2 linked regions of the Tamandua tetradactyla genome follow. The protein of the gene in region 1 interacts with the protein of each later gene in a pairwise test. Links are inferred from orthologs where the notes say so. Each region holds a gene or a part of one and is shown on either strand. Other genes may lie near its edges. The genes, in order: RIN1 and RRAS2.

The links.
Region 2: the proteins of RIN1 (region 1) and RRAS2 interact in binary tests that used the Homo sapiens proteins (3 or more experiments, as listed by UniProt). The link is inferred for Tamandua tetradactyla from reciprocal best matches to the Homo sapiens genes RIN1 and RRAS2.

Annotation. Positions count from the first base shown.
Region 1 is NC_135335.1:8,081,585-8,090,508, reverse strand, and holds the start of RIN1 (ras and Rab interactor 1), read right to left. Parts: upstream 4,010-8,924; 5' UTR 3,754-4,009; coding exon 3,524-3,753; intron 3,361-3,523; coding exon 3,180-3,360; intron 3,061-3,179; coding exon 2,946-3,060; intron 2,858-2,945; coding exon 2,785-2,857; intron 2,638-2,784; coding exon 2,546-2,637; intron 2,405-2,545; coding exon 1,658-2,404; intron 1,358-1,657; coding exon 1,052-1,357; intron 761-1,051; coding exon 629-760; intron 475-628; coding exon 323-474; intron 1-322. Other genes in the region: BRMS1 (breast cancer metastasis-suppressor 1), read right to left, coding at 4,693-4,934, 5,540-5,579, 6,021-6,085, 7,235-7,327, 7,904-8,000, 8,089-8,168, 8,285-8,412, 8,620-8,710 and 1 more. UniProt on the Homo sapiens protein: Ras effector protein, which may serve as an inhibitory modulator of neuronal plasticity in aversive memory formation. Can affect Ras signaling at different levels. First, by competing with RAF1 protein for binding to activated Ras.
Region 2 is NC_135334.1:89,723,624-89,732,625, forward strand, and holds the start of RRAS2 (ras-related protein R-Ras2), read right to left. Parts: upstream 4,077-9,002; 5' UTR 4,063-4,076; coding exon 3,955-4,062; intron 1-3,954. UniProt on the Homo sapiens protein: GTP-binding protein with GTPase activity, involved in the regulation of MAPK signaling pathway and thereby controlling multiple cellular processes. Regulates craniofacial development.

The sequences.
Region 1 (8,924 bases):
GGGGCCAGGGGTCTGGGCCTGCGCCTGCCATCCGTGTTCCTTCCCTCTCTGCGTCACGTCTCAGTTTCCTCATCTGTAAAACTGGTATAATGACAGTCCTATTTCACGGCGGATGTGAAGATTCTGGAAATGATGGCCCCAGAGCCCTGAGAGCACATGGAATACACTCCCCCCGCAAAGCGCGGCTTTGCTGTTGGTTGTGGCTGGGACCCCCTCCCCTTGCTGTGTCTCACTGGGAAAGGAGGGGCCTGGACCCGATGATGCCAGAGTTTCCTGGGCCTGGGCAGTTTGGGGCAGACAGGGGTGGGGGTGGCCCTGTTACCTGGAGGCTGTGGGTGGCCGGCAGGCGGCGCTGCTCCCAGAGGCTGAGGGAGCGCTGCAGCTCCTGGGAGGGGCTGAGGCGCACGGCCTTGGCCTGGTGCAGGCTGCTCAGCAGGGTCAGGCTGGCCGAGAGGCTGGTCAGGTAGTAGCCGCCTGGGACGCCACGGGGAAGAGTGTGGGTCAGGCTGGGCATGGGGGGGGGGGGGGGAAACGACTGCCTCCCTCTCCCCGTTCCCTGCTCACCCAGGCCCAGAGAGCAGCGAAGACACCCTCGTCCCACCCAGATAGGAAGGTCAGGCCCCCTCACCCTCTCCGGTGAGCAGGGTGGGCTCCAGCAGCTCTGACATGTACTCGGCCTCCAGGAGCAGCTCTGGGAGGTCACACTGGGCCAGGACCAGGCTCAGTAGTGGCAGGAACTCGTCGGCACCAGCGCCTTCCCCTGCGGGGACGTGTGGCAGAGGCGGTTTCAGGGTCCCCCAGGCCTAGGGTCAGGGCCCACAGCGTGTCTTGGCCAGCGACCCCTCCCCTCTGCCTGCCAGCCCACAACTATGTGGAGAGGCTGCTCTGTCATCTGGGCCTCAGTTTCTCCATGTGTAAGATGGAGGATCGGACTGATTCTCCCCTACTGCGCCATTCCTGGGTCCTGGTGCCTCTCTTTGAGATGCCTGCGTCTGACTGTGCAGGGGGCCCGCGGGGGGCAGGGGTGTGGGGGGCAGGGGTGTGGACGTACCCGCCTGGGCCTGCAGCGCCGTGTAGAGCAGCTTGCAGGCCTGCAGGAGCCGCTTGACCTTGGCGCTGGGCGAGTAGGCGCGAAGCAGCTGCAGCAGCTTCTGGCGCACCTGCTCCGTCTCCACCGGGGAGGGAAGGCACAGGTGGGACCCGAAGGCTCCGGGGCCCTGGGCCCGGGCCAGGCGCAGGCCCTCGGCGAGGCAGCCCAGGGAGCCGTTGGCGGAGAACCGGCTCCGCAGGCGGGCTGCCAGGAGGGGCCGGAGGGGCTTGAGCACGGAGCGGTGCAGGGACTTCTCCAGAATGTGCTCTGAGGATGGAGAGCCAGTCAGGGCTCAGGCCTCAGGCCCTGCGGCTGGGGGCAGAGTCCTGGGGAGAAGGGCCAGGACTGGGCGGGAAGAGGGGATGGAAGGTGGAGGAATCGGGGTGGGATGGGAGAGAGGAGGGAGAAGGGACGGACCGAGTCACTCGAGTGATGCTGAGACGAGGTGGGTTTGTAAAGCAACAGGCGCAAGGAGTTAGGCTGGAACTGCGGGAAGATGAGAGCATCGAGTGGGGACTGGCTGGAATTGTGGTGAGGGAAGGCAGGGTCGGGGAGCTGGGGTCTTACCCAGCCTCTCCGGAGGCAGCAGCTTCTCGGGGCCCAGCTCGGCGCTCAGCATGGCCCGCGCCTGGCTCAGCGCCTCGCGGACGGCCTGCAGCTCCTGGGGCTCGGGCCTGGCCCGCACCTGAGTCAGCAGGTCCTGCACCAGCTGGCCCACGGCCGTGTGTCTGTCTTGCACCAGCGACCCGGCCGCCCGGCCCACCTGCCGCTCGGGTGCCAGCAGCGAGCAGAAGGCGGCGCTCATGGACCGCAACAGGGGCCGGCGGCGGCGGCCCAAGCAGGGCGAGGACCCTGAGCTGCGCCGGGATGCTGGCGCCGCCCCCTCCTCCTCCTCCGAGCTGCTAGGGGAGCAGCAGTCCACCTCCTGGAGGGAGGGCAGGGGCGGGAGGCTGGGGCCAGCACTCCACGGCACGCGGTACCCCACGGAGCTCTCCCGGCGCAGCAGCCCGTGAGGGGGCAGCCTCTCGGTCTGGTCCGGGGCTGCCTTGGGCAGCACGGGGACCGGGGGCGGCGGCCCAGCTGGGGGAGACAGGGGGCTGGAGGTCTCCGTGGACACGCGTACTTTGAAGCTCCTCTTGAATTTCTCACGCTTCGTGGGGCCCAGGTCCCCTGGGAACAGGGGGTTGAAGAAGCACAGGGCAGCTCCAGTGCCCTGGTCCAGCTCTTGAGGGGACCGGGGCTTCAGCAGGGGCAGCAGCGGGCCTTCAGGGGGATCCTGTGGGGCCCTGACATTGAGGGGGGAGCTCCAGAACTCTAGGGGGGAGAAACCAAGTGGGGGGGGCCTCAGGAACCGGGGAGGGGAGGGCGCCCGACCCAGGGGGAGGCATGACTTCCGGGTGGGTGGCCGCATGGCTCTCCCTTCCCCTCTCGGCAGGGCTGGCAGGGGGCCCTTACCGACGCCCAGATGGGAGATGGCCTCCAGCTCCTTGTGGGTGGCTGCCTGGCGGATGGCTCTGGGGAGCTGGAGCGGGAGGAGGAGGACATCTCTGGGACCGAAAGAGGGAGCAGAAAGTCCAGAGTGAGGGGATCCCTGGGGCCACGGGGGTCCTGGGAGGGGCCAGCGGGGTGGGGGAAGATGGAAGAAGCAGGGACCCCAGGGACCCTAGATTGGCAGGTGCCCTGTGGACACTCACCGGGTGTGGCAGTAGCCGCAGATGAGCTGGACCAGGTCCGGGAACACGAGCTCCGAGCCCTCCAAGGAGACGCCTGGGAGTCACCGGAAGTTGGGGCGTTCTCTGGGTGTCCCCCAGCTGGCCCGCCCCAGCCCCCTTCCCTCCAAGCCAGCCCCTCTCACCCCGGGGGCTCTCCTGGATGTAGTGGCTAGAGACGAAGGAGGGCCCGCCGGCCTCCGGCAGCCGCACACACAGGGTCTGGCACTGGCGGGTGTTGGATTTCCGCACCAGGAACGTCTGCGGGTGGACGGGAGTTGGGGGTGGGGGGTGCAGCTCCGGACCACGGTGTCTGGCCTCTCCCACCCCCACCCTGCCCTCCCACTGGCCAGGCCCCGCAGGCCGCGGGCAAGACTCACCCCGGGGGGCTGGGTCCTCAGCACGTGCAGAGCGGCCGCTGCGTTGGCCCGCAGCTGCAGCCACACGGGCCGGGTGAGCAGCAGGCGCTCCCGCAGGCTCACGGCGCGGCCCGGCCGCTGGGGCTCACCCACCTGCCTTCCGCCGGCGCCGGGTACATCATACAGCAGGTCGCGGGCTGGCCTGCGGGCGGGCAGCCGGACCTGGGCAGGGTGCCGGGGGCTGGGACCCTTGTCCAACCCTCCCTAGCCCCAAAGACCAGGCTCAGCCCTTCTCCAGCCCCCGGACGGACCCTTTCCTGCCCTCCCTCCCCGTCCCACCTGGCTACCCCTCCAACTTCACTAACTTTTCTATCTCCAGGTGCCTGGGAGCAGAGCTGGACGGGCTGGGGTCTCTGCCAGGGCCTGCGCCCGGCTCTCCGGGGCTGTCCATGGCTGGGAGCGCCTTAGCTTCTCCTGGGACTCGGGAAGCGAATCCAGCCCCCCAGGCGAGGACACTCACATTCCCGGCGGTGAGTAACACTTCCTGAGGGCGGGGCGCCCGGTCACACCCGCCAGTTAACTCTTGTGTGTCCATTCTGCTGCTTCTGCTCTGGGCACAGCCTCAGGGGCCTGGGATCCCCTTCCTGCCTGCACCTCACTGCGGATACCAGTTTTGGGGTTGCTGCCGCCAGTGCTTCCCACTGCCTCCCTGGCCTCAAGCCACACCCCTGGGCGGGAAGGAGTTCATCACGGCTTGCGGGGAAAGGGTTAAGCAGGGCTTGCCTCAGGCCCTGGGGGCCCAAGCCTCGCCCTGGGAACACCTTTAAGTCTGTGGTCAACTGATCCTTTTTTTTTCCTCCGAGGCCTTAGGGTCAGCCTTGTGGGCGAGCGCCCCCTATTGGTTACGGATGACTCATCCCTGAGCCTAACCTGGACTTTGGGATTTCAGGTTGCCATGGAGAAAAGATGCCATGTCGCCATGGAAACGAACCCCTTTGCTTAACTGAGGTGCTGGGGGTGGTTCTAACACTCAGCGCTAAACCGGGGGGAGTCTGGCTGTGAGGTCGTCAGCACACGGCGCTGCTGCCGGCTGCCTCCCACGCACAGGCCCTGCCAGCCTGCCTTGCCAATCTGCCAAGCAACCCGGGCAGGTGCAGACATGACCCAGCCCCCAAGCCCTGAGCACCCGTATGCTCGCCACGTGCTCTACCTGGGCCACATGTTGCTTCAGACTGTGCTAAGAAGTACCGGCCCCCCACCCAGCTCAGAGGTACAGGCTCCTGCTGGGTAGTGGGGAGAGGTGCCACATCCCAGGGACCCGAGGAGGGTCTGCCTGTCCCAGGTGGCTCCCCACGGGAGCCCTGATTCCCTTGCCAGGTGAATCAGACATACACACAGGCCATGCCAGAGTCCCAGGAAAGGTTTTAATTCCAGTCCCTACCACCTAGGAGGCAGACATGAAAAGACGCCCTGAGAGAAGCTGGGAAGCCTGGCTTTCCACCTCCAGCTCAGCCAGGGCAGATGGGCCCCCCAGTCATAAGTTACGATTTAAAGTTCCCATGCAGTGGGGCCTAGCTCCTTCCCTCAGTTCTGGAGAGCTGGAATCCAGGGTCACAGGAAGGGGAAGTTGCTTTGGCTTAAAATGAGGCAAGGGTTCTTTGTCTGGGAGGCATGGAGACGGCTGATCTTTGGGAGGGGGAGACAGTGGGCCGGTCGGGAACAGGGAAGACATCTTGGCTGCCCAGGTCAGCTCCACGTCTACTGCCGTGCAGACCCCTGAGGAGGCGGCGGAGGAAGAGTCCAGACAAGTGACCGCCAGGGGTGAGGCCCCAGCAGCCACAACGGGGGGCCAGCTGGGCTGTCAGGTGGACCCAGAGGGGCTTGTCAGCCCACCCTTCCGCAGGGGAATCTTGGGTTTGGTGCTGGCCACGCCGAGGGACCCCGTGGTGGTGAACAGAGGGTCACGGTCCTGGGGGCATATGGGAAGGGGACAGTCACTGTGGGGAGCCACCAGGGAGGGCCACCTCACATGCGGGCTCGGGGTATGGCTTTGGCTCTGGGGCTGCTCCCCAGCCTGAGCTGCACCGGGGCTCTGGATTCAGCCCTCTGCCCAGGAACTCCCCCCAGCCTTCAGGCCCACACTGACCCAACCTCGCTGGTCAGCCTCCCCCGCCCCAGCAACCCAAAGCTCCCACCCCAGGTTCCTGCAGCCCAAATGCTCACTCCACCCCCAGGTCTAGATCATTCTTTCTGTCTTGGGCCATGATGATTCTGACAGGTCCACTGCTTCTCTCAGGACTCCCTTCTGGAGGTGGGGCTAGAAGAGGTGACAGTAAGGGGACAAGGGGGACGGGAGGAAGTGTAGCCTCCATGGTTCTTACCATCCGATTTTCTCTTCTGAGGGGACACAGCTGCCCTAGCCTGGATGAGCAAGAAGAAAAGCCCCTCTGAGAGCCTGCCTCCAGCTTGGCAAGGACCGTCCCCCCATATCAACCTCCATGGAAGTGGGGGGCTGCTGGATCAGCTGTGCTTTGAGAGGGGTGGGGAGCTTAAGACCCTTTCCAAGCAAAGCCCTGATGTCTGTTTTCAGATACCCAGCCAGCCCAGACGCCCTCCAGGAGCCTGCCACCCTTCCCTCCCTGTCCCCCCACCCCATCGGAACCTGCCCTGCAACCAGAAGGGGCTGGCAGGCTAAAAAGACCGTCTCAGGCAAAGGGAGAACGTCTGTCTGCCAAGGATGATAAGAAACCTGGGTGGCAGAGAACCCTGTCTCTACAGAGACAAGCCCAACTTTGGTATCTGAGAGAGGTCTCACACTGCCCTGTGATGGGGCTGGGGTGGGGGACAGTAGGGACCCCCTACCTTTTTGATAGCAGTCCAGTCCTCTAGAATGTCGATTTCCTGCAGCATATACACGATGTAAGGGCCTGCGACAGGAGTCAAGGAAGCAGGAGCCGAGCGGGGTTGCAGGGGATGGGTGGGGGGGTGGGGCGGGGGGACTGGGGCACCAACCCAGTGCTTGAGAGAGGGCAGCGTGAGACCGGACAGTTGTGAACCTGGGTTTGTGGTCAGGTCTCACCTCCCACCATGAGACCCCACCCCTGGCCCTCACAAGGACCTCACTGCCTACCTCCCCTCGGCTCACCCTCACCTTCATCCAGTCTCAAGGCCTGAGTCCAAGGTGCACCCCACCCCCCTTGCTCCTTCTATTCCCTCCCTTCCTGTGGCATAAACTGTTCCCTCTCCTGGCCCTTTCTCTACCAAGAACAGATGTGGAGGTCTCCCAACCCTGGGCATCACATTTCCCTCTGGGGACTGTCCACTACCCACACCTTACCCCCCGCCCCGTGACCACCTGTGCTCTGCATTTGACATCCCCATGCCCTCACAGTCCATTCATGCCTTAGTGTGCTCCCAGCTGCCTGCATCTGCTCTCCATCACCAAAGTGACCAGGACCCAAGAATCTAGTTCCTTCAGAAATGCCCTCAGAGGTGGCAAAGATAATTCAACATAATTCTGCTGGGATATACCAGGAGGGTCCCGGGGGTGGAGACAGGGCAGGCCTTGGATTGGAGGGGCTCAGGCCCAAGGCAGGGAAGGCAGAGACAACTCCTCCCATGTGGGAGGTGGGCAGCCCAGTTGGCTCACGGAAGAGGTGACACTTGAGATAAGCACCGAACAGGTAGGGACAGCTGTGAAGGCACAGTCGGAGGGTGGAGCACAAGCAAAGGCACAGACGCGGGAGAGCCTGGAACATGCTCTGGGGCAACTGAGTGGCTTGGGAGAAATCATGGAAAGCACAGATGGGCCCAGAGGCCAAACCTCACCCAGAAGTCATGGGGCGTCATTAAACTGATGTTTCTATCTATGGTCCACAGAGCCTAGGAGAGACCCACGGCCCCACAATAAATTTCTGACAGCTGGATCTGCTGGGATATGGTCACATGACACCCAACGACCGCGAATGTCTCTAGTCCAACCCTGCCCTTCGTGTCACCTCCATCCCCCCACCCCTGGGGTCTGGTGCTGACACTGATCCCCCACCCAGTCTCAGGCCACCTTGGGGGAAGGATACCAGAGACGAGAGGTGCCTTCTTCCTCTTGCTGGGTGGCAGGGAGTCCCAGGTCCTTGAGCTGCCCCTGGCGTGCAGCTTGTCATCCCACCACTCTGAGCCCCCAGACCCAGGATCAGTCACAGGTGTTGGCCCTCACAGGCCGTCCCCACGCTTGTAGAGCCAGCCCAGCCTCTCCTCCCTTCCCCACCCACCATCACCCAGGGCCATGCGTGGAAGCCTGGGCTTGGGGTCGGAAGCCTGAGTTCAGGCCCCAACTGCACAGCTGTGCAGCCCTGGGAGAGGTCACTGCACTTTCGTGAGCTTTGGTTTCTTCACTTGCTCCGTGGACAGTGGGGCAATGACAATTCCTGCCTCCTCAGGAGTCCCCCACCCCCAAGAAGCCTACTGGCAGAGCAATGGACATGAAGTGCGAATGTGGAAGTGGGGGAACTGTGGTTACCATACATGTGGGCATGTCCAACCAACACCTCGTTCCTGCAGGAGAACAGGGCGCAGGAGGGCAAAGGAACCCTGTTCCTGGGCCCTGCTGCGTGGCAGGCACAGAATCAAGCCCTCTGCATGCCAGGTCTCAGTCAGTCAGTCCTCACTATGACTCCAAGCAGCAGCTCTGTCCTCATCCCCACAAGCAGTCAGGAAAGCTGAGGTCCAGAGCTGGGTGAGACACTCACCGGAGCTGATGTCCAGACTCTGGCGGTCCTCCTCCAGCCTCTGGATCCGCTCCTGCAGCTCCCCCTGAAGGGTGTCATAGAGCAGAAGCTTCTCACTCTGGGAGAGGCAAGGGCAGCTCAGTCGGGGGGTGGGGGTGGGGGGCAATCCCTGGCCTCACCTACCACCCTGCACCCAGTGCCCTCACCTCCAGGTGCTGTTTGGCTCCCTGCAGCTCACACTCATACTTATTCCTGATCACGTCCAAACAGAAGCCCTTATAGATCCCTGCACAGGGAAGGAGAAAGGGGGTCCTGCTTGATCAGGACCCTGGGTGCCCGAGGAGAAGGGCTGGGAGCACAGAGCTGGGAGGAGGGAGGAGGGGCACAGGATGGCCCACGGACCTGCCACCTGAATGCGAATCTTGAGGCTCCGCTGCAGCCCCCCAAGAGGCTCTGTGTACTCGGGGGCTCTCTCGGCCCCCACTTCTTCCAGCCGCAACCGTAGCTGGCTCAGTCGTTCCCTGAACAACCTGGGAGGTAAAAAGAAAAAAGAAAGGCAGCCATGTAGCTATCTGTCTACCACTCTTGGGCAAACACGTGCCAAGCACCCGCTCCCGGAGGGCCTGGTGTTAGGAGCTCACGCACTCTGGACCCCGGACACCCTGCCCAGCACCAGGCCCACTGCCTCCTCAGCCCAGGGGCCCCCAAGACCCAGCCCCAGGTGTTTCCGGACTCACTTCTCCTTTAGCTCTGAGAACTGCTTCTCCAGGTCTAGCATCTCGTTCACACACTCGCTCCGGCGGCGTTCGCAGTCCTCGTCGTCCATCTCTGAGGACAAGAGGCTGGGCAGGGTTGGCTCTGAAGAGCAGCAAGGAGGGGTGCGCATGTGGTGGGGGAAAGTGGGACTCACCGGAGCTCTCCTCCTCTGACTCCGTCTGGCTGCCGCTCCTTTCCTCCTCACTCTCTTCCTCCTCCCCGTTCATCTCGGCGGCCGAGTCGCCCTCTGCTTCCATCTCCTCTGTGTCTTTGCTCGGAGGCTGGA
Region 2 (9,002 bases), on another chromosome or scaffold:
GGTGAGTTGCTCAATGGGCACAGAGTTTCTATTTGGAATGATAAAAAAAAAAAAGTTTTGGTAATGGATGGAGGTAATAGTAACACCAGATTGTGAATGCTATTAATGCCACTGAAAAACAACCGTAAAAATGGTTAGAATGGCAAAAAATAAAACCCCAATGATTATTCCATTATTTCCTAAAACCAATTCCAAGTTGATTTAAAAAAAAGTTTCCCCAACTCAAAACAAAATCAGCATTTATCACTTAAATATCAAACAAAACTAAGGAGTGGAGTGCAGGATTGGAGGGTGGAGTGAAGATTTAAAATAGCACATCAGATTATGACAAGGAAAAATGAATAAATCACAAGTTTTGACACCAAAATAAGGAAATAACAGGAGCACACAAAACTAGGTAACAATTATTACTTACTTACTCTGTAGGTGGCACTGTGCTGAATGACTTACATGCATTATTTTATTTACTCCCCAAACCGCAGGATACTGTATTATTCTCCCTTTTAATATGGGGAAACTGAGAACCTAAGAAAATTGAAACTGAGAACCTAAGAAAATTGACCACAGCTAGGTAAGTAAGAAAGACTCTGAATTTCAAAGATGCAGATTTGTTCACCCAAGCCCAACATTTAGCAGAGAAGAAAATGAAGCCTTGAAGAGATTAAGCAATTCTCCCAGTCACCTGGAGAAAGTGATCTACAACATTCCATTTTGCACAATGTTAAGATCATTTCCTACCTAGAGTTTACTCATCATTTAGGTATTCCATTTACCAACAGAACTTAAAAGGACTGTTTTCAAAAGTAATGAACAACAAAAAACAAGGAGTACGTTAACACACACTTTTTTGTTTATTTGGGGGATTTTTTTTTCTATTTTTTTTACATATACACTTTTAACAACATAATACCTTGCATTCTTTTATCACCCATGGGTATAGTGTGAACCTCTATATTCATTGTTAAAGAGGTAAAGGCACCGCAATTAAATAAAGATGACTTTAATTTCCTAATTTTCCAGCTGTTCATTGCACAGAATGAACTAAAACTGAGAACTAAGAAAGTCAAGGCTAGAAGCAAGGGGGTTTTAAGTTCTCCACGCCCAAATTTGTTAATCATATTTTTCTGTTCAAGACAATTTAAGAGAAAAAGTATTTTCTGAAAACTGTAAAAACAGATTGTTATTTTAGGTATCCTATAAAATAAATAAATAAAAAACAACTGTGCCTCCTAATTTCCTACAAAGAGAACTGACTTTCCCTTGGCAAGGTGATTATTCTTCTGCTCTCTCCTCTCCCTCCAACTACTGGACAAACACAGCAGGATGGATTTTAACTTCCCAAGGCTCAGACATATAAACTGTTGTCCTGACAAGTGTAGGTAATAAGCGCCATTATTTTCATCATCTAAGACTGATATAATAACAGCCATAATAACATAGGTAAGCCTTAATATGTTCTAGACATTGTTCTCTGCCCCTGACAAGTCACCTTGTTTAACTCTCATGTCCACTGTATGAGATACTTTTTAAAATTATTTCCCCGGTTTACAGATAAGGAAAACTGAGTTACAGAAAGGTTAAGTAATATGCCTTAACTTACATATTGTGCAAGTGGCAGAGGTGGGACTGATTCTATGCAGTTCAGTCCTACCTCTGCCTGACTCCTGTCTCCCCAGAAAGTCTGAACTTGAGAGTCCAAATTCCTCTCCCCTTTACTGGCCCCAAGTCATGTGCTTTTCCACTGCCTCCCTCGCCTGCCTCCTCTCTCGGAGCTCCTTACTTACATATGACATATACTCACTCTTTCTCCTCACCACTAAGCCTACGCAGTATTTCTATCAACTCTTCCCAAACTGACCTTCCTGTGATACTGAACTCCCTTTGTACTTACTGTGTGTTACGAAACTTGTACACATTCACACTTACAATAATAGGTACCTTTAACTGAGCACATACTAAGTCCTAGACACAATGCTAGAAACTTTCCCATAATTTAAAGAGTTATAATAAATGTGCAATTGGACCCATTTTACTGATGAGAAAATTGAAGCTCAGAGAGGCTAAATATCTTAGAAATGTTCTCAGAGACAGTAAATGCCAGCGCAAAAGACGTGCTCAATTCTGTGTGACTCAAGGTTCATACTCTTTCTCTATGTACATACACATGTCTTTCTCATGCACTTCTTTCTAGAGCATCTAGATACAGTACTATTCATAAAGAAAGCATTTCGTCAGCTAACGAATTTCAGAAAATCATAAGGAAGGCAGCAATCGCTGTATTTTAATGGTCTCTAATGCTATTTCCCCCAAAACAAAAAATTCCAATACCTTAATAACTAGTTTACAGACTCAGTGCTTTCCCTGGCTCCGTCCAAAAAGTTAAGAAACATTTGTAGCTTACATATTTTAGGTAACATTTTTTATCAATACTGGAAATCAGGATTATTCTCCTCCGCACTAACCATAAAACTACAATCCCCAGAGAAAAGTATAAATTGTTTTGCTTTGCTATCAGTTGGTCTTTCTTGGCCCTAGAGAAATGGCAACATAACAGCATCCCTGATTCTGCAGCCTGTTAACACTAAAACCAATCTCGCCTCTTAGTGTGATTTTTTTAAAACCCACTAAAGACCATGTTGTAAATGCTCACTACATAAACATCCTCTCTTCCTGGATACATAGGTTTTCTGCAGTAACCCTCTAAATTTCACCCAAAGTGCTAAAATAGTTTTAATCTCTTGGCATGTTACAGCAGCAAGTATTGCTCCTTAGCCAATGTGAAAGGTGATGATCACATTTCTGTTACAGTTCTCTGTATTTTAATGTCACTATAAACATTAGGTGAAATAAAATAAGCTATTCAAGTATTCCAATTGATGACAAATGGGTGAAACGGAAACCAGAAATAAAATAAATATTGCACCAAAGCTTCTTAACAATACTCTTGCTATGAATAAGAATGCCTTTGTTACCCCATAAAACGTTCTACCTTGGTTCTTTCCCAGTAAATGCCACACCTTCTATATTGACAAAAGCATAAAGATATTCGGGTTTCTCTTAAAAAAAAAAAAAAGATCACTCAAGCCTCGCACCAAAAGCAAAGTCAAAGCATGAAGAATTCCACCTCCTTTTTCTTTACCACAACCCCTGACTTTCGGCCTCTAGCAACAAGAAAGGGGTGGGGAGGGGAGGGGTGAGGGTGGTTGTAACACAGAACACACGCCTCAATCATCTCTTAGCCTGGCCCATCCCAAACTTCACCTTGGCACAGCGAAAAGCCTGAAGACACCAGAAATTCCTAGGAAATGGTCTCACCCTTATCGGAGAACATTTTTAACTTCCTAGAAGCCACTCATGTCCCTCGGGATTATCACACACCCCTACCCAAACATATTACCTAAGAGATGACTTAAAAGAAAAGCACAAACACACACAAAGAAAAAACACACTGCTAGACGCGGGCAGCTCCGGCTCAGACTGCGCGAAGCCCGGAGACCACGCGGAGCCGCGGCCAAGTTGCCACCGCGATCGCACCGCCGGAGCAGGAGGCAGCCGGGAGGCGGCAAGGCCACCGGCACTGCGGGGCTCCAGCCACACGTCGGACGCCGGGGCCCACGGGGCAGGAAGCCCGGCTCGACGGCGCTGCCTCTCCGGAGGGCTCCGGCCCCGGTCAGAGCGATAAGGTAGATCGGCGCTTCCCACCCTACCAGCTCCGCCCTCCCGCCACATTCCTGAGAAGACGGGCTCCCGGGACGCCGACCCGGGCGCCGGGCAGGCAGGAGCGCCGCGCCGCAGCCGCCGGGCAGGAGAACAGAGCCGGCCCCGCGCCCACCCGCCCTCCGCCCCGGGCCCGCGCGGCGCCTCCGGGGCGGGGTTGCGGCGCCCGCCCCGCCACAGGTAGCGAGCCCCCGCCCGCCGCCGCCCCGGCGCCCCGGCAGGCCCGCTTCCAGGCACCTGGATGAACTGGATCGTGAGCGCCGATTTGCCCACGCCGCCCCCGCCGACCACCACGAGCCGGTACTTCTCCTGGCCGGAGCCGTCCCGCCAGCCGGTCGCGGCCATGGGGACACCGCCGAGCCCAGCCCGGCCGCGCCGAGCCGTCGCCACCCGCCCTAGGCCCGGCTCCGGGGACGTGTGCGGGCTGCGGACGAGTAGCCGGGCGGGGGTCCTGGGCGCCGGGAGCTGCGAGGAGGGCCGGTCCACGCGGAAGCGCGGCGCCCGGGGCTGGCCGGTCCCGCCCAAGGCGCGGAGAAGCGGGGTGTCCGCCGGAGCCAGGGGCGGCAGCAGCCGGGGGGCGCGCTCCTCTACCCGTCTCCGCAGCTCCAGCCGAACGCAGCCTCCAGCGCCGCTACAAATGGCCGTCTGGGGGCCGGGCTGCCGGGCTGAGGTTCTGCATATGTATGAGGGGGCGGGGGAGGGAGCGGGGCGGGGCCGCAATGGCCTGGCGCTGAGATTCGGGAGTTGGCTGAGACTTCATACCCCTACCGAGGTGCCCCTCCAATCCCTTGACTCTGTGTGTGTTTGGCTGAGAGAGAGAACGTGTGTGTGTATGTGTGTGTGTGTGTGCGTGTGCGTGCGTGTAGGAGTGTGGAAGAGGGTGTCAGTGACTGGGTGTGACCATAATTGTATATGTCAGGGATTATGTGGATGAAAAATACATTATGTGACAGCATGTGTGTGAAAAATGGAGCTGTTGTCATCTTAGTTTAATTTGTAGAGAGCAAATATCGTGTTTGAAGAGTACAGACAGTGACTGTGGTTGCATGAAAAATCCAGTATGTGACAGTGATTGAGGATTAGAGCTGTCACAGACATTGTGTGTGTGATGCGCTTGCAGAGGTCACCGTGTGTGAGGAATGTGACAGTGACTGAGTGTGAGGAATAAGTCACAGTGACTGAGCTTGTGCAGACAAGAGTGAAAGTGAGAGATTTTGTATGTGTCTGGAGAGTATCTAAGAGGCTGCGTTTATGTGTAAAAAATATGTGGTCATTGTATTTGGGGAGTATGAATGTGAGAAATTGATTTTTACCTATTGAACACACTAAAAAGAGTGTCCCTGCCCTCCGAAATGGGGGAGACAGCCTGGGTAAGGAGCAAATCATCAGACACAATGATAAAGGCTATAACTGCATAAGCACTCGGTTGCACATGTGCCCATAGGAGAGGCACTCATTCAATCCAGAGTTGGCTGGTCAGAGAACTTAAGGATAAATAAGATCGATGAATAATTAATTGGAAGAAAAGAATCACAGGGAGAGGAAATCACATATGCAAAAGCCAGAGGAGAGAAGGAAGGATTGTCATATGATTTTGAATGTTGCAGGAGATTGCATGATGGTGATAATGAATGAAAAGTGATTATTTCTGTATATCAGTTTAACCAAATGTAACAGTAATCACAGCTCTATGTAGAAGATCTGGAGCCAAATCTGGATTCAAATCTCACCTCTGCCACTGATGGTGTGACGTTAGGAACTTAACCTCTGTGCTTTGGTTTCCTCCTCTCTAAAATAAGGATAATAAGACTACTTACCTCATGGGTAGGTAATAAGAATTTTACTAAGCATCGAATGAATCAATACATGTAAAGCACATAAAACAGTGTCTGGCATGTGGTAAGCCTCTCTGAAAGTTTTGGAACATGACTCCAAGTTCCTGGACACTACTTAGTGACCTTGGTGACTTGCTTGGGATCAGTAGAATGCAGTGAAAGAGATGCTGCATAACTTTAGAGGCAGCTCCAGAGAGCTCATGCAGCTTCCCCTTGTTCTCTTGGATGCTGACCATGGGGGAAACAAAGTAAGAAGTTTGAATTACCCTGAGACTGCCATGCTGAAGAGGCCAGATACAGACATGACAGTTCAAAGTCTAGCTGAGCTCCCAGCAGACCATTAGCTGGTCCTGACATCAAGTACCAGCCATCTGAGTGAGCCATCTTGGACACCCAGCCTGGTCAATCTTTAGACAACCACAAACCCAGTCGGCACCTGACTGCAACTGCATGAAAGACCCAGTCAATAACTGTCCTTCAGTGTGTAAGTATGAAGAGCACCCAAACAGCTTTTACCCAAATTCACCTGTTATGAACGTTTTACCCCACTAGCGTTGTCATTCTCCTCTAGACAGGTAGATGATAGAGATATATGTTTTTTCCTGAACCATTTAAGGATAAGTATCCTACATCCTGACTCTTTACCCCTAAATACTTCAGTGTGTATTTCTTAAGAATAGTGATTTTCACAGAGCAATAACACAGTTATCAACTCAGTAAATTTAACATTGATATGGATACTTTAATCTAATTTAGAATGCACACTCCAATTTTGTCAGTTGACTCAATGATGACCTTTAGGGCATTTTTCCCCTTCAGTAAAGGACCAAATCTAGGGTCAGGTGTTGAATTACTTGCCAAGTCTCCTTTGCTTCTTTTAATATCTTATAAAATGGTGGCTTTAAGTAGGTTGGGGTTTAGGGATATTTGTTATGCAACAGTAATAACCAGAATATATGACATATATTATTATCAATGTGGAAAGAGAAAGTAGAAAATGAAGAGAGAAAGAAAAGAGGAGCCCATGACAAGAGAAGACTGAGAAATGCCCAAGAAAGGGCCAACTATACTCCCTGCAGATACCTCTCAGTGTCTGCCTACCCCTGCAATGAACCATAATTCCTCAGGACCACATCTTCATCTACTCTATCCCTTTCTTTATTGACTGGACTCAAAGCTGAGTGTTCAGCAAGTACGAAGCCCATGTGCTCAACCCCACCCAAACAGCATATTCCAAAGCACTTTCTTGTCCTTAGAAAACACTCCAAAAACCCTTAGCAAGAAAGAAACTGCCCTGTAAACTAAATCACTACAGAAATAGAAGATGGGAGAGAAAGAGCTAGTTGTGTCTTTCAAGCTTAATTATTAAAGTGCTTTTTTTCATTTTAACCTGAAAAGATTCCTTCTCGAGTATCTGGGAGACAATAGGGAAATATATAAATCTCTTCTAGAGAAGAATGACCCAGACCCTTGGAAAGAATGATAGAGATAACCCCACTTACCTGACAGAAAGAAATCGTGTGACTCGGGAAGGAATTTCCCAACATCACTCAACAAGTTGTTTGCAGGAATTAGGACACAGGTCTCCTGACTCCTCTGCTCAGGGCTAAAGCTGGATGTTATCCAGATTCCAACAGAGCCTCAGAACACAGAGCAGAGACAGTGCTGAAGCTGCCAGTCAAGACCAGGGCTGCTGATTCCATCATTTTGACTGAAATTGAATAACTGTCTGGCTAACGTATTGTCAAGAGATTTTGACAGGCAGATTCAGAGCCACATTTGTCCCACAGAATTGTTTGGGCACATAACTAAATTTTTTAAAAATTGAATTGATTGCCAACATTAAAAAATAGATACTTCACATAAAAATCTGGATTTCTAACTCTTCTTGAAAAATCCAATTGGAATATATAACCACACTGGGCTGGCACTGTCATATGGCAATAACTGGCTAAAAGTAAGGACTGACTGTCCTTTAGAAGAGGTATCAATGCTCCTATTCATCAGAGACCCCAGCCAGCTTTTTGTAACACGGCCCACCTATTTCATTTTAATGTTACCTGCCAGACCTTTGTGGGCATGAGGAGTTTGCAAATCCTACTACTATATACCAGTGTTTTCTACCTAGGATGCATATTGAATCACCTGTTGAGACTTTTAAAATGAAGAGCCTGGGCTCCACCCCAGACCTGCTCCATGAGACTCTCTAAGGTTGCAGACTCAGAAAATGTACTTTTAAAAAATATCCAAAGTGGCCCTGAGATGCTACCAAGATTAAGAACTACTGGAGGAGAATGGACTCATGTTCACTCTTTATTTCAGGACAAACAGTCATTTTCTCATCTGGAGTGTTGGTTACTCATCATCTCTAAAAACCACTGGCCCAAATGGTATCCCTGGCCCATCCCAAAGGAAGGATTTGGAGATGGAGTGAGGAGGGGGGCCCTAAACCCAATATTCCCCCGACCTCATCTATAGCTGAGTCAGACAGAGCCCACACTTGGTGACCAAAGAAGGCCAAGCCCCCGGAGAAAAGAGGATGCAATCCTTATCCTGGCTAATGGAAGAGCATCATCCACTTATTTCCTTAATGGGCCACAGCTTCTAATGTGAATGAATGGCTGGTGCAGAACGAAACAGCCCAGCAGGAGCTGCAGGCATGTGAGATGAGACAGCCGCACAAATCTATTCCTTGTTTAAAGATCATGCTGCTAAAAATAGAAACTGAAACACACACTCAGGCGTGTGCACACACACACACAGCCCCGAGGAAGGCCACGACAGAGCTGGCAGAATCCAGAGCTTAGTGGAGGATCAGCTGAGAATCACAGAACCTTAGAGCAGGAAAACCACCCCTCAATCATCCCCTCTAAAGCTCTCGTTTTACAGATGGGATAGCAAAGGCCCAGAGAAGAGAAGGGTGATTCCCAGTGTCGCCTAGAGGTAGAGCAAAAGCACCACTTGAACACAAATCCAGTTTCCCAGCCCGGGGCCCATCCAAGTGTAGCACCCTGCTTTAGTCCAGCAGGCTGGGCAGTGGGAAAAGCCCCACTCTCCTCGGGGCACAGCTTCCAGGAAGACTAAGGCAAGGGTGTCCACCACAGTATTTTTTAAAATAATGAAAAACTGGAAACTAATTAAATCGCCACAACAGAGGCTTCATTAAATAAATGATGATATGGCCATACCAGGAAATACTATGTGGCCATTAACAGTAATTTTTATTTATATAAGGAAAAAAAATTTTTGTCTATATAAGAAAATGTTAATAATATATCAAGTTAGAAGAGAAGGATACAAAACAGGGTGTACAGTATAATTCCAATTGTTATAAAAAGATATATATTTATACCACTACCACTTATCGAGCACTTTCCATGAACCTGGCACTCTGCTAATCACTTAAAATGCATTATCCAATTTAATCCACACACACCCATCTGAAATGGG